2 linked regions of the Stegostoma tigrinum genome follow. Each later gene encodes a partner of the first gene's protein in a complex. Links are inferred from orthologs where the notes say so. Each region holds a gene or a part of one and is shown in the gene's direction. Other genes may lie near its edges.

Region 1 (8,002 bases):
ACCTGTGCCATGTCACAAGTCTGTCCTAGCAGGAATGACAAACATGAGATATTGATGTTATTCTGAATTATACACACTAGCCATCTTGACAACTGAATGAACCAATCCTTTATATCTTTCAATGATTGCCAGACAGCTTTTTCTTTATATAATGTAAAAGCCAATTAAACAATGTTTATATAAGTTAAATACACCACCTATCCATACTGAACATGTGTAATTGCAATAGTTAAAATGATTTGATTATATAAGTATCTTCTATCCTGATTAGAAATGCAACATCTGGAAAAAAAAATCAAATAGATATCAAGCTATGAAGTCACCCATCCAGCAAACAGCTTTAACATAGATTCAGACTGAATGGATTTAGGGGAAACTATGATTTGGGCAGCAGAGTATTAATGTGTGGTTGTCATGGGAATGTATATGAGGACTGCACTGCCTCCCTGCAGCTTGAGGTGTGCTTGAGATGACAGTTAGAATTTAAATTAATATCACAACCTTTTATATCCATGTTGGATAGAAAATAGTGCTGCTGAAATTACATGTAATGAGTAGCATCTATTAGATCTATGGTGATACTCATGCTGAGTTATAACTATTATTTGTTACACACCAACAGGAAACGTTGAGATGATAAAATAGCTTTCACAATATTATGAGATCTGAAACCTTCCTTTGTTTTTCATTTTAGTGGGAGAGTCTCCTATTAGTGATTCCAGTAGACAGTTGGCTACTGATTTGCCATCTTGCTAGAATTGCAATTCATTCTTTGTTGCTCAATCGATGACTTTTTATAGTTCTTGACAGATTTTTCACGGAATAAACGCGGCCTCATAATTTCATATTTAAAAAATGTCTGCAACATTTAAACATATCAAATGTGGCAGTAATGATAACTGTACTGGATGGATGCCTTTTAAAAAGGCAAACACCTTTTGCTTTTCTGCAGTGATTTTTCTTTGCTCACAGAATATGTGGATAGATTTGCAAAATCTTTACCATTTTATTCTTAAAAGTGTAATGTTATCTTGTGTTAAACAGGAATTGTGAATTTCCATCACAGCATTTTGAATTTACCAGAAATAGTCTACCTAGCACTTAAAACCGAACTGCATTAAATCACATTTTCCTAAAGAGCACTTAGCAGAGATGACTCTATTACATGAAAGAGCTACAATGTTTGGAACCTGGTTAAACATAATAAATCTACACGAATGACAACTAAGAGAATACAGAGGTTTCACAATGGAATGTTATATTCCATTAAAGCAAAAGAAATTGATATCAGGAGTATTATTGGGTCTAGTATTACTGACTGACAGCTTAAGGAAATTAAAATGCAGCAGGTTGAAGTTCAGTTATGGTAAGAAACCAGCTTATCCTGAAATTGATGTAGACTTAACACTGATTTATAGAGTTGTGAGAACACTGGCTAATACTGAGGAGATTTTGCACTCTCTCTTATAGAATTAACAATGAAAATTCTTAGATTTTGTGTGTACAGGTTATAATTTCACCGTCATGGCACATCAATTGTTTCACGATTGGAAACAGTGTCATCAATATGCCATGTGAATTATGTCATTGAAATTTTTCTCTGCTAAAATTCACTATGTTGGAATTAGTTATTTATTAAGTGTCAGTTAGAGTTGTTAAGTAAAAGGACACAAGCTACGAAACAATGAAATACCTGAAATAAATCAAACATGATTGATAAGCAATATTGGAATAAATTGTTAACCATTTTAGACATGGCTTATTTTCCTTTTATTTTGGTTTATAATGTTACCTATGCAATGCTTCCTAGTGTGTTAATTCTAAAACTGTAATATCTGTTCTTTTTAGATTAAATTTGATTCTTATGCTCTTTGCTGTAATTGCGAGTTTGCAACTGGATATTTGATACTACTCGTGCTCTACTCCGTTCTATGTCAGTATAATTTTGACTATAATAATTTCTCATTTGAAACTGGGAGAAAGTAAAATAGTTTGAAAGATAAGGCAAAGAATTCCAGTAAAGGTAACTGGAGAAGACTAGTTTGAAAAATTTGAAGCATTCAGGAGATGAACAAATAATGAAGCAAAAGTTTAAAGTATTGGCAAAAAGCTGTAGGTTGGGTTGTGGATAAGGTTGTTGACTTGCTTGCCGAGCTGGCTTGTTTTTGATCAGACCTTTCATCACCATGCTAGATGAAATCATCAGTGGAGTCTCCGATGAAGCAATGTTATTATACTCGCCTTGGAATTTATACTGTCCGGTCCGTTGTGGTGAGTACTGTCATTTCCAGTTTTGATCTGTATATATTTATATATGGGGTGCAACTCTATATGTTTGTTGATTGAAGTATGGGTTGAGAACCATGCCTCCAGGAATTCCCATGTGTGTCTACGTTTGACTTGGGCTACTATGTTTACTTTGTCCCAGTTAAACTGATGGCCTTCATTGAGTGTACAGATATTACGGAGAGTTCATCGTGCCATTTTTCTGCTAGCTGATGTTTGTATGTTCTGATGGCTAGTTTCCTTCCCGTCTTTCTGGTATAATGTTTGTGGCAGTCATTGCATTGTATTTTGTAAACTACATTTGTTCTGCACGTTGTGGGAATGGGGTCTTTAATCCTCGTAAGTGTTTGTCGTAGAGTGGCTGTGGGTTTGTGGGCCACCACGTTTCCTAATGGTCTGAGCAGTCTTGTTGTCAGTTCTGATATGTTCCTGATGTAGAGAAGTGTAGTAAATGTGTTAGGTTGTACTGTGTCTTCCTGTTGTTGTCTGTTATATAGGCACCTGTTGATGAAGTTATGGGGATATCCATTTGAGACGAGGATCTTGTATAAGTGTTTTTCTTCTTCCTGGCATAATTATGGAGTGTTGCAGTGTGTCCTAGCCAGTTTAAATAGCGTCCTAATGCAGCTTTGTCTGTGGATGTTGGGGTTGTTGCTGTGGAAGTTGGAGATTTGATCTGTAGGGGTTGCTTTTCTGTGTACTGAAGTTTGGAACTCCCCTGTTTGTCAGTCATTCCAGGAACGGCAGTTGATTGTTGGGCTCTTCTTCCCTTTTTTTTAGTTCATTCGTGGGATGAGGCCATTGCTGGCTAGGGCAGTTAAGAGTCAACCATATTGCTGTGGGTCTGGAATCACACGTAGACCAGACCAGATAAGAATGGCAGTTTCCTTCCCTAAAGGACATTAGTGAACCAGATGGGTTTTTCCGACAGGCGACAATGGATCATTAGATTCTTAATTCCAAATGTTTTATTGAATTCAGCTTCTACTATCTACCACAGCGGGATTTGAATCCAGGTCCCCAGAATGTTATCTGGGTCTCTGGATTAACAGTCCAGTGATAATACCACCAGGCCATTGCCTCCCTGGTAAATGTGAATTTAATCCCTGTGAATACACTGTTGGTGAGGTAGTGGGTCTCTTTTAATTTGTTGCCTTTAATAATGAAAAATGTGTCATCTCCGTTCCAGATCCACAGTTTAGGTTGAGTGTGGGGGAGGATGGTGCGTTCTAATCATTGCATGACTGCTTCTGCGATGAGCCCTGAGATTGGTGACCCCATTGGTGTACCGTTGATCTGTTTGTATATTTGACCATTAAAGACAAAGTGTGTAGTGAGGCAGAGGTCTAGTAATTTAAGTATGCTGTCCTTGCTGATGGTATTGCTAGTCTGAGTTGCTGTTTCCTCTAGTAATATGACCATTGTTTCTTTGGCTAGTGGGATATCTTTTGATGTGAATAAAGCTGTGATGTCAAAGGATACCATAATCTTGTCGTCGCTGATTTTTATGTTCTTTAGGGTGTTGAGGAAATCTTGGGTCGAGTAGATAGAATTGAGGTGATTTGTCTACTAGGTGTTTCAATCTCTGTCGTAGATCCTTGCCAGTTTGTGTGAAGGTGTGACTGGTAGGGATACAATGGGTCGAGAGGGATGTATGGTTTATGTACTTTAGGCAGTCCATAGAAGTGGGGTGGAGGTGAATGGTGTTTGTGCTTTTGGTTTCATTCTCTTGAAGTCTATCTTGGTTATCTGCCCCGCATTTATTAGTCACTTCAGTGTCTCGGTGATCCTATTCCCTCGCTGCAGTGTTGGGTCTATCACCATCTATTGGTAAGTGGTTGTATCTGCAAGCAATGTCTATGCTTACTTAACGTAGTCTAGTTTGTTCATAATGATGGTCATGCACCCTTTGTCTGCTGGTAGGATTATGATGTTCTTGTCTTTCCTGAGTTTGTCTAGAGCTTTTCTCTCTGCTGTGTTCAGGTTGCCCCCTTTGTTCCTTCTGTGTAGTGTGGGGATTATAGTTTGTTGGATGGCTTGTTGTGTTTCATCCGTGAGTTTGTTGTCTTTTAATGCATTCTCCAGAGCGGCCATGAAGTCTGTTCTGTTCACATCTTTGTGGCTATAGTTCAGTCCACATTATAGGACATCTTTCTCAGTTTCTGTGGGTTGCTTATTAGATAGGTTTCTCATCCATGTGTCTGCCTTCTTGTTGTCCTTGTCTTTGTGGTGTATCAGTTTGGTGAATTTCTCCTGCAGTTCATGTCTCTTCTTAGTTTTGGTTTTGTGTCGATTGGTAATGGCCTGCTGGTCTGTTGAGTTTCGATACTGTGATTTTTGGCATGCAGTTTCTTGTTTGTACCTGTGGAGCCAGTTATGGGCATCATTAATCATTCCTCATAGCATTCTGCACCCATTCTGTTTAGCTATTTTGTGTGCCTCTGGGATGTTGAGTGAAGGTTTGTACTTCACACTGCCATGCAGTACCTGGTTCCTGAGGCATTCATGGAGGTAGTGAAGTTGTTCGCAGGTAGCGCTCAGTCAGTTGGCAAAGGTTTCCCATTGTCTGGCAATTTTTGGCATGTTATGCCCGTAGTTATTTAAAATATTGGCAAAAAATCTGTAGTTCGGGTTGTGGATGAGGTTGTTGACTTGCTCATTGAGCTGTCTTGTTTTTGTTCAGATGCTTTGTCACCATGCTAAGTGACATCATCAATGGAGCCTCCGATGAAGCGATGTTATTCTACTCCACTTGAAATTTATACTGTCACATCCATTATGGTGAGTACTATTATTTCCAGTTTTGATCTGTATGGATTTATATATGGGGTCCAATTCTATATGTTTGTTTTTTTGAAGTACGGTTCTCCACCCACTCAAAAAACATGAAGATATTAAGGGATTGACATTTTAAAAAAAGATATTCGTTTGTTTTAATTTATGTCTTTTTTATATTAGCCTGTTTTTCTGATCAACCTGATCAGAGATAAAGTTGCACATCTTTTGAGCGATGGGACTTGAACCCAGGCCTTGATCACTGCCCACAGGAGGGCCCCCAAATGATTGCAACAGGACTCAAGATAATAAAATGTGAGGCTGGATGAACACAGCAGGCCAAGCAGCATCTCAGGAGCACAAAAGCTGACGTTTCAGGCCTAGACCCTTCATCAGAGAGGGGGATGGGGTGAGGGTTCTGGAATAAATAGGGAGAGAGGGGGAGGCGGACCGAAAATGGAGAGAAAAGAAGATAGGTGGAGAGAGTATAGGTGGGGAGGTAGGGAGGGGATAGGTCAGTCCAGGGAAGACGGACAGGTCAAGGAGGTGGGATGAAGTTAGTAGGTAGATGGGGGTGCGGCTTGGGGTGGGAGGAAGGGATGGGTGAGAGGAAGTACAGGTTAGGAAGGCAGAGACAGGTTGGACTCAAACCTGCAACCTTTAATGCTGAAGTCAGACATCTTATACATTAGACCATATGATCATGTCTTCACCCCTGTTTTATGATCTAGGTTAAGAAATTAACTCCGTGTGGATACTGTGCATAACTTTGCATCATATTCTGTTGAAACGACTACATTGTCTACTTCTATCATTAATTACTAAATGCACTCCTCGTTGAAATAGAGCAACAGAAGTATGGGTGTAGTGTTGACAATTGCTTGTGGCACAGTGGCTCAGTGGTTAGCACTGATGCCTCACAGTGTCAGGGACCTGGGTTCGATTCCACCCTTGGGTAACTGTCTGTGTGGATTTTGCACATTGTCCCTGTGTCTGCATGGGTTTCCTCTGGGTTCTGTGGCTTCCTCCCACAGTCCAAAGATGTGCAGGCTAGGGTTGGGCATGCTAAATTGCCCGTAGTGTTCAGGGATGTGTAGATTATAGGGGGATGGATCTGGGGCGGGTTGCTCTGATGGTCAGTGTGGACTTGTTGGGCTGACAGGCCTGTCCCCACACTGTAGAGTTCTATGACGTTATGTAGTGTCTTAAGGGAGGGAACAGGAGTAAATAAGGAGAAGAAGTTTGGAAACCAAAAGCTTTATGCATATGCTCAAGTTAATGTTCTGCTGGGGGAATGAAATCTTCTGGAAGTCAAGGGTTGAAGGTTTCACCATAATATGAGGAAAATTTGTTACAGCAGGAGCGTGACATCCATTGCTAGTAAAAGTATATGCATGGTATGAATAAAAATATTTATAATTCCAAATGAAATGATATAATACTCACTTGACAGGCCTAATTATTTTCAATTGATGCCTCTTCACTTTTTTGATCTAATAGTATTACTTTATGTAATTCCTCCCACCATCGCTTTTAATCTATGTTTTAAATGCATTCCCACCTCCACCCATTAAAATCAATTAGAGAACCTGTACTTATTGTTTTTATCATATCAGCACACTGACAATTTTGTGGTTAAATTCTGGAGTGGGTTCTTTGCGTGCCCTGTGTTGCTACCAATGACCTTCATCAAGAACTGGAGACTTCTCGGTCATATATTAAAATGAGAATGGATGGCTGTTTGAATGACTCCACCCATGACTTTTTCTCCAAGTATAGCAAGAGTAGTTTAGAACTAACTAAGAGAGCTGGAGCCTGTTCCAATTATTGGTGAAGTGCTATAGTTTGGAAACTACAACTGAAACAAATTTCAAGAGAGATTGCAGTAATCCAATAACAAAAATATTTAAACTTTGCTTTAAACTTTAATTGCGCTGATTGATTTTGATGAAAGGTCACAGATGTGAAAACTTGGGCTGATTTTCACAGCCCCATTGAGATGAGGGATAGTGGCAGGGGGCCAAGAAAATTGGAGGAGCTGTGTAGGGATGGCTCCTCAATATGCGATTCCCTGTCATCAAGGAAATTTCTTGGGTGGGCTGAGTGTCAGACTGACATTATGATTGACAAGGACCGTCAGACTATAGAACAATTAAATTCCTAATTGGCAGACATTTTTATGACCTACTTTCCTGCCAGGGACTAACTCCTTACATCCCCCTCATCACCGCACACTGAGTTCAGCAGAAGCAGACTCCCAGCAGTAGACAAAGTGATTGTCAAATCCAATAGTGATCAATCTTTCCTCATGTAATAAAGTGTAAAACTGGATGAACACAGCAGGCCAAGCAGCATCTCAGGAGCACAAAAGCTGACGTTTCGCGCCTAGACCCTTCATCAGAGAGGGGGATAGGGAGAGGGTTCTGGAATAAATAGGAAGAGAGGGGGAGGCGGACCAAAGATAGAGAGAAAAGAATATAGGTGGAGAGGAGAGTATAGGTGGGGAGGGGATAGGTCAGTCCAGGGAAGACGGACAGGTCAAAGAGGTGGGATGAGGTTAGTAGGTAGGAAATGGAGGTGCAGTTTGAGGTGGGAGGAAGGGATAGGTGAGAGGAAGAACAGGTTAGGGAGGCAGAGACAGGATGGACTGGTTTTGGGATGCAGTGGGGGAAGGGGATGAGCTGGGCTGGTTGTGTGATGCAGTGGGGGAAGGGGACAAACTGGGCTGGTTTTGGGATGCGGTGGGGGAAGGAGAGATTTTGAGGCTGGTGAAGTCCACATTGATACCATTGGGCTGCAGGGTTCCCAAGCGGAATATGAGTTGCTGTTCCTGCAACCTTCAGGTGGCATCCTTGTGGCACTGCAGGAGGCCCATGACGGACATGTTGTCGAAAGAATGGGATGGGGAGTTAAGGAGATAATGGGAACTGCAGATGCTGGA
Region 2 (7,377 bases), on another chromosome or scaffold:
TTGGTCAAAGGCTTGATTGTTCCTTCTCTTTGTTTTCTGTCTGCCAACTAATTCTCTATCCGTGTCAGTGCACTATTTCTAGTCCTTTAATTTTACATAATAATCTCTTACATGGGTCCTTATCAAAAACCTTCTAAAAATCCAAGTTAACTACATAGGCTGGCTCTCCTTGTCACACGACTGTTTATATCCTCCAAAAATTCCATTAGGTTTGTCAAGCAGATTTCTGTTTTAAAAAATCTATGCTGTTTTCTAAGTGTTCTGTTATTGGATCTTTTATAATGGATTCTGATATTTTTCATACTTCCAATATCAGGCTAACCATTCTAAAATTCCGTTTTCTATCTACCTCCTTTTTAAATAGTGGGATTACCCTCCAAACTATAGAACTGTTTCAGAGTTGATAGATTCTTGAAAGATGACATCCATTGTTTCGAGGGTCATTTCTTTTAGGACTCTGGGAAGTAGACTGTCGGGTCCTGGGAATTTGTTGGCCTTCAATCCCATCAATTTCCTCACCCTCCACTTCCCTACTAATACTGATTTCCTTCCATTCATCTCTCTCACTAACCCCATACACCCAGTATTTTCGGGATGTTATTTGTGTCTTCTTTTGTGAAGAATGCTAAGACTAAGTCAGGGTTAAATGCAATTGATTTACAGATCTAATACAATTCAATTAATAGTTGAACATTTTCCCAGATGCTGAATGACTGTGATAATTACTTGATTTTTATTTATTTCATCATTGGGCAAGGTTTGTCAAACTCTTCCATAGAAACCGATCACAGGTGGAATTAGCCTTCAAATTTATTACATTTCAAAATAATGGGCTGAATTTTACAGCTCAGGAGATGTGATAGCAGGGGAGGTAAGCATTATATTGAATGACATGCTATTGGCACTGTGCCCATCATTTACCCACTCCCACCTTGGAGTGAGAAAGGCATCAGCAGTATGCCAATTGAGTTCCCAAGTGCCCATCCCCCCCCTCCAAAAAATCCCCCGAATCTTTTTCCTCACGATCCGCTGCTGTTCTGTCCACCATGATCCCTCAAACCATCATGAGGATCTGATAACCTGGCCCCAGTGACACCCTGGATTCACTTTTTCAGGACTGAAACTATAGCAGACCTATGAGCCCAGTCTGGAATCCAGAAATGTCGGCTTTCAATTATACAACACAGGCCAGAACTACAATAACTAATAAGACACTCTGAAGGAAAATGAAAACCTCTAACTTTCTGACCTTTAGAAAAAGAAAATCTGATGTAAGTAATTTGCAATACAAGAACCTTGTGTGCTTTGGGTTGAAAATGTTAATGAAAGTAACACATTTAAAGTGGAGACATATACGTTTGTCACTAAAGCTGACAAACCTGGCAGAAAAATGAGACGTATACTTTTCAACAGATCTTAGAAATTCCATACTAAAAATACATTGCATCTCCACACCTTCTGGAAGGAAGACTTTGAAAGTTACAAATTTCTTGCAGAATCAAGACAAATTTTCAAGCTGTTATCAAGTATCAATCATATTCCGGAGTAGCTGACTGGTATTCATTTTAGTTGAAGTCAATGGTAACCAAAACCAGAAAACTATCCTGAGGAAGGGTTACCGGACCCAAAACGTTAACTCTGATTTTTCCTCCACAGATGCTGCCAGACCAGCTGAGCTTTTTCAGCAACATTGTTTTTCTTCCAGAAAATTGTTAGAACTGATGTCTGACCTCAAAATATAATTGCAATTTGAAAATCCTACTTCATGATATTTAGGGAATCTAATTCCTTAATTTACAGTGATTTAAATTGGTTTTCAGGAAGTTTCTGTCATAGGTAGAATTATAATGAAAGCTTATTACATTCCAAAATGAAGTACTAAAGTTTTCAGCTGTAGGATGAGAGGTGAGGTCTAAAATTGAGCAAGACTGTTGTCCAATTGCCTCCTATTCTACTGGGTGAGGGATGCATTGGCCAGTCTGCTGCACTGGGTCATTTGAGGCCCTTAAATGATCTCCCAAAGTGTTCCCTTTGTGTTTGTCTTCTCCATTCCCTGCTGCCTCTCTACCATGATCCCTCATTGGGGCTTGGTAACCTGGACTCAGCAGGATTCCAGATTTACCTTGTGCTAGACTCTTGGCTTCTCAATTCAGGGCATTCTCTGGAGTCCTTCCAAGGCCATTTCCAAGTGGCACATCTGACCCCAAGATCATGAGAAATAGGTGCAGGGGTAGGTCATCCAGCTCATTGAACTAATTCCAGAAGGCAATGAGATATTGGCTGATCCAACTAACTCCACTTTTTTGTCTGACTCCCTTAACAAATGACCCCCATGTAGGTCAATAATCTATCCAGCTCATCCTGGAATATATTCAAAGATATGGCCCCCACTGTTTTTGTGATTTTGTGGGAGGGGTTCGTGATCACAGTTATCTAACACAGGCAGTGGATTTGTAATGATTTTCTGATAATTTGTTGAGAAGCAGCAGTTTAGGTATGGTACATTAGTTGATTAGGCTTTTCTGTAAAATGGTGGAGCAGAAGCAGCACACTTCCATGTTCCAGATATCTTGCAGTCTTTTGTGATAGTCCTTCATGGTCTCTGGTAGCAACATCCTTTTGTCTTCCCTTGGGCTGATGTAGAGGAACATCTTCCCAGAAGGAGATGGTGGTTCATCCCCTTGATTCCTCTCATACTCCTCTTTTCCCATTTAGCTCATTATTTTGGCAGATGGCCACCTATGCTTTATCAACCAATTGTCTGAACTTTTTTGTCCAATGACCATTGGCAGCTACTCATGATGCCAGGATGACCAATTCCCCTTTCCTGCCTCCATTTTAAGTTTAGTTTTAATTCCTTCTAAGAACAAAAACTCCTTTTTTTGAAACATTGCATTAATAATAGGGTAATGTGGCATATGATCATTTTTTGACTTGAGTCATGAACTCAGCATTGGATTTAATCTGTTCTCTGTATTCATATACTGGAGGTCAGTTTATATTTGTAGAATGCTGGTTACTGCCGTAATACTCAGGCTACATAGGAAGTAATAAATATGAAAGACTCAAAAGAATTTTAGTTTTTAAGGGGGCTCCAAATTTCAACAGCTCTCAATGGAAGACACTTTCAAAGACTAATAACCCTTTGAGTGACTATGTCCCTTCTCATCACTAATTTAAATATGAGGTCTGAAGCTAATGAGGTCTGGTGAACCCAAACTGAGCATCGGTGAGTACATCATTGATGACCAAGTGCTGTTTAAAAGCAATGTTCTGGCACCGGGCATCTTCCAAAGACTTTACTGATAAGCTGCCTAAAGGGTGATGCCTTGTCGGTTTACCTTTTCAACTGGCTGCACGCCAAGTTTTTTTAAATAATATTCTGTATTCAGTTATTTGGAAGTCACAAATTGTCGGGCATGTTCTCACCTGGAAAAGGTGGTATTAATAAATCAGATGTCAATCAGAGAAGAATGAGCTAGGTGGTGTGATTAAATGGATAGGTATAATGTTTATTCATGACAAAAAACAGAAATTGCTGGAAAAACTCAGAAGGTCTGGCGGCATTTGTGAAGAGACATCAGAATTAACGTTTCGGGTCCGGTGACACTTCCTCGGAACCGGACCTGAAACGTTAACTCTGATTTTTTTTCTTAGACGCTGCCAGACCCGCCGACCTTTTCCAGCAGCATCTGTTTTTGTTCCTGATTTACAGCATCCGCAGTTCTTTCGGGTTTTATACTGTTTATTTGCCTGGTCTATATATATATGGAGAAAAGAGCGAAGAGAAGACGCTCAGAATGAAAGAACATTAAACCACAATATATGACCAGAGCTTTTTTTATTAGTTTAGTAACTTTTACGACAATTGCAGACGAACAGGGCTTTAAGATTTTAACTTGTGTAACTGGAGAGACGATACGTTCCGACTGTTTTAGGGAATTAAAGATGTTCATGCCATGTGGGGAAAAAGCATAATCCAACCATCACCTCGCATTCCAGGTTCATAAATTGCAAAAAGTTCGTGAACAGATGCGAGATAAAACACCACTTTGGCTTGCATTTGAAGCTCCGTTATCCTTGGCAACATCCTAAACTTCCTGTTGTGCGGTCTGAACCACTGAGGATGCAGATGGTGGGTGGCTCTCCAACCAAACTAGGGCATGTGAAATGACAGGATGCTGTGTGTATAATTAGCAGAAAGTGTGGGGAGCTGGGCTGACGTCATCGGGTAATTGCTGTGCTCTGACGTCAGGGCCGAGTCGGAACGAGGCGGGCGAGTCAGAGTGGGTGACTGCGCTACGCCGTGACGCGCTGACGTTCATTTAAAGGTCGGGCGCACGCGAAGGAGGGTGGGTGGGGACGGAGCGTGGGGTGTGCGGGGGTTTGGCTATGGCCGGGCAGAAGTGGTGGAGTCTGCGGGAGTGAGTGGAGGAGCGCTGCCGCTGACAAAGGGAATGGAAGGTGGCGGTTGGAGCGCCGCGTAATTGGAATCTTGACCCGGCAGCTGCAGCCGGCTCGCGCCGCCTCGATTTTGCAGCCATTTGGGGCCGCGGCTGGCGACTCTCTTCACCACCCCCCCCCCCCACCGTCTCCCCCTGCTTCACCTCCAAGGCATCTGGACCGAAAAGGCGGGTAGAGGTGGGGAGGAAGAGTCCCTTGGAGCACTCTCAGGGTTTACCCTCGAGTTTCCGCTGTCGCTGCACTCATCTCCCCGCCTCTGTGCCCCTGTGTGCTCGGGGGTGAAATGATCTGCTCCAGCGTCTCTCTGAGCCGGGCTGAGAGAGCCTGAGTCTCGGTACCATCTCCCATCATTAACGCCGTAAAAAGCGAGAAGCGTCCCCCCGCAGGCGGAGAATCGGCTTGTCTTCAGCAGGAGGAGAGAGGGGTAAAAATGGGGTGAGACATTCCGTTTCTTACTGCTGTTTGGTATATTTAAAGGGGGGGGGGCGGAATAAAATGGACACTTTTGCCCCCGTGGTGGGTTGAGTCAGACTGGGATCTCGCCGCTGCAGCTGCTTTCAAGTTAATGTCAGGTCGCTGACGCTGGTGCTTTGGGCGCTTGACATTAGTGAGTGTTTACGGACGAGGATCAGTTACAGCACCCTCTCGAACTGATAGTTACGTCCCCATGGTTTATGTTAGTACAGTTCTAGCCATGTGTGCTCTCGGAGCCTTGTTAAAAAGTCGGGAGCTACCGAGGTGTGTTTTACTCGCGTCCATCCTGCGAAGTCTCAATGCACATTTTGGAGTGTAACGTTGCTGTAACTTGAAGTTTGAACATGGGCTTGGGTTTGACTTGAGAAACTAGAAAAGCACCATACCACTAATTTGATAGCGCTTTAGTGTCTCGAATTGGGACTATCCAGCAATCTCTGCTTGATGTGGTGGCACGGAGCTCTTTAAAACTTGTGTTCGAAATGTTCGCCGCTCTGGATCAAGACTAGTTTCAGCATAATAGGAGTGCTCAGTTAATGTGAAATAACGGTTATATAATTAATGTATGGTAAGGGATTCAAGTTAGATCATTGTTTAAACAAAACCGAAATATCAAAATATTTTGGGTAAGTAAATTCTCTAAATCCTCTTAATTTGAGGATTTTCTGGAACTCTTAGTCCTCTAAAAGATAAAAATCAATCAGACTTATCTTCATTATGCAGCAACTTTTTTTAGCAGAATTATGGATGGGAACTATTCGCTCTTTACTTTGATGTACTTTCCTTCTTTCATAAGGAAACATCCCGCTTGAACTTTTGACTTCCAATTTTTTGTCATGGCAGAAATGCTGTTTGGATTTAGTGTAACTCACTAAATTAGTAAATCTTAAAAGAAGTCACCAAGCATCTGTTTACTACCTTCAGATTAGTTGAATGGTTTCTTGTTTTTAAAAAGTAAAGCTTGCTTGCCTGGTTAAAACTCTAATTCTATCTACATCCATTGTATGTTGGTAGCTCTGGAATGGGTTTTATGGCTAAATTCTAAAACGTGAAAGCTACAATAGAGGAAACCTTCAAGACAAGCTGCATGAATTGTGAAATCAACTGTCAATTTGTATTGTGGATGAAGTATTCATGTGGTCTTTCAGTGGTGTCACTTGTCCAGTTAATACTGCTATTTATCCTAACGAAACACGCTGGTTTTGTAACACAAGTTATTTACGTTAACAATACATGGTGACAAGTGTTAAATTGTTTTTGCTTAACCCCTATGCCAGTGATTAGTGTACTTACTGTAGTAAATGTGAATTAAATTGTGATTTATGAAATATTGTCTTTTGCTGTTAAGTGACCTGTCCAAACTATTTGTCCTATCTTTTTATACTAACTTGTTTTAAAAGTTCTGATGACTTTTTTTATTTTCAAGAGAATTGTTGCTCCACATTAACCCTTATCAGGAAACTGAGTTCCTCATCAAAATGATCAATTGTTCAAAATTGGTTTGAAGTTTATGCAGAACTTTTTGTACATCAATTTATTTTTCTTTATTTTATAGGAATGGAAACCTTTCTCATGTTTTCAGTGGAGCTGCAGTAATATAACTTATACAGTGAAGGAATGCATTTTGTAGTATAAATTGTCTACTTTTATCTCTACTTTGATTTTGAATTCCTCTTACGCATGTTATGCTAAGACTTGTCCCTACAGACTAGATGGGTTTTCTCTTCCCAAATCTTAACCAGCACATTTTGTGCACTTACGAACTTATTGTACATAATGGCTTTACTCTAGAGATGCAACAAGGTGATAGAAGAAAAGAGGCAGTCATTCCATGTTTATAGTCACTTCAGTTTAATAGTCACTTCTTTGCGATAAGTGCTGTTCTACTGTTTTCAAGCAGGGAAACTAGTTAGTTGCTCTTCTCTCCATTGTCTACAGTGCACTCCACAGCTGTATCAGATCTACTGATCATACAAGTTGATGTGCATTCTGTTTGTGATCTGTTGTCCTCTTGGACACTGGTATCTATCAAGGTGTCACTTTGTCAAAATTCATCTCATCTGCTGAGGAAATTCATTGAACAGCTGGACTGTCCTTGAAGTATGTGGAAAAAATTGCAAATGAGACTGAAATGTAAACAAATTTTGGAAATATATGGCAGGTCTTTCAGCTTACTAGGAAGTTAGATGCATCAGATCTTTACTACATGAGGTAAGATATGTATTTTGATTAGATTGCCTACAGTGTGGAAACAGGCCCTTTGGCCCAACAAGTCCACACCGCCGCTTGAAGCATCCCACCCCAACCTGTCCCCTATAACCCCCACACCCCTGAAGACTATGGGCAATTTAGCATGGCCAATCCACCTAGCACGTCTTTGGGCTGTGGGAGGAAACCCACGCAGACACGGAGAATGTGCAAACTCCACACACGGTCGCC

Evidence for each region. Proteins that work in one complex are often made in the same cells at the same time.
Region 2: the proteins of grm5b (region 1) and homer protein homolog 1-like are in contact, whole or in part, in a crystal structure (PDB 1DDV), measured with the Rattus norvegicus proteins. The link is inferred for Stegostoma tigrinum from reciprocal best matches to the Homo sapiens genes GRM5 and HOMER1. Residues at the interface, in XP_006229721.1 of Rattus norvegicus: Thr1155, Pro1156, Pro1157, Phe1160; in NP_113895.1 of Rattus norvegicus: His12, Phe14, Trp24, Thr70, Ser71, Gln72, Lys73, Phe74, Gly89, Phe90.

The regions. Positions count from the first base shown.
Region 1 is NC_081359.1:51,153,265-51,161,266, forward strand, and holds the start of grm5b (metabotropic glutamate receptor 5b), read left to right. Parts: upstream 1-4,995; 5' UTR 4,996-5,067; intron 5,068-8,002. UniProt on the Homo sapiens protein: G-protein coupled receptor for glutamate. Ligand binding causes a conformation change that triggers signaling via guanine nucleotide-binding proteins (G proteins) and modulates the activity of down-stream effectors.
Region 2 is NC_081356.1:108,786,401-108,793,777, reverse strand, and holds the start of homer protein homolog 1-like, read left to right. Parts: upstream 1-4,375; 5' UTR 4,376-4,894; coding exon 4,895-4,899; intron 4,900-7,377. UniProt on the Homo sapiens protein: Postsynaptic density scaffolding protein. Binds and cross-links cytoplasmic regions of GRM1, GRM5, ITPR1, DNM3, RYR1, RYR2, SHANK1 and SHANK3.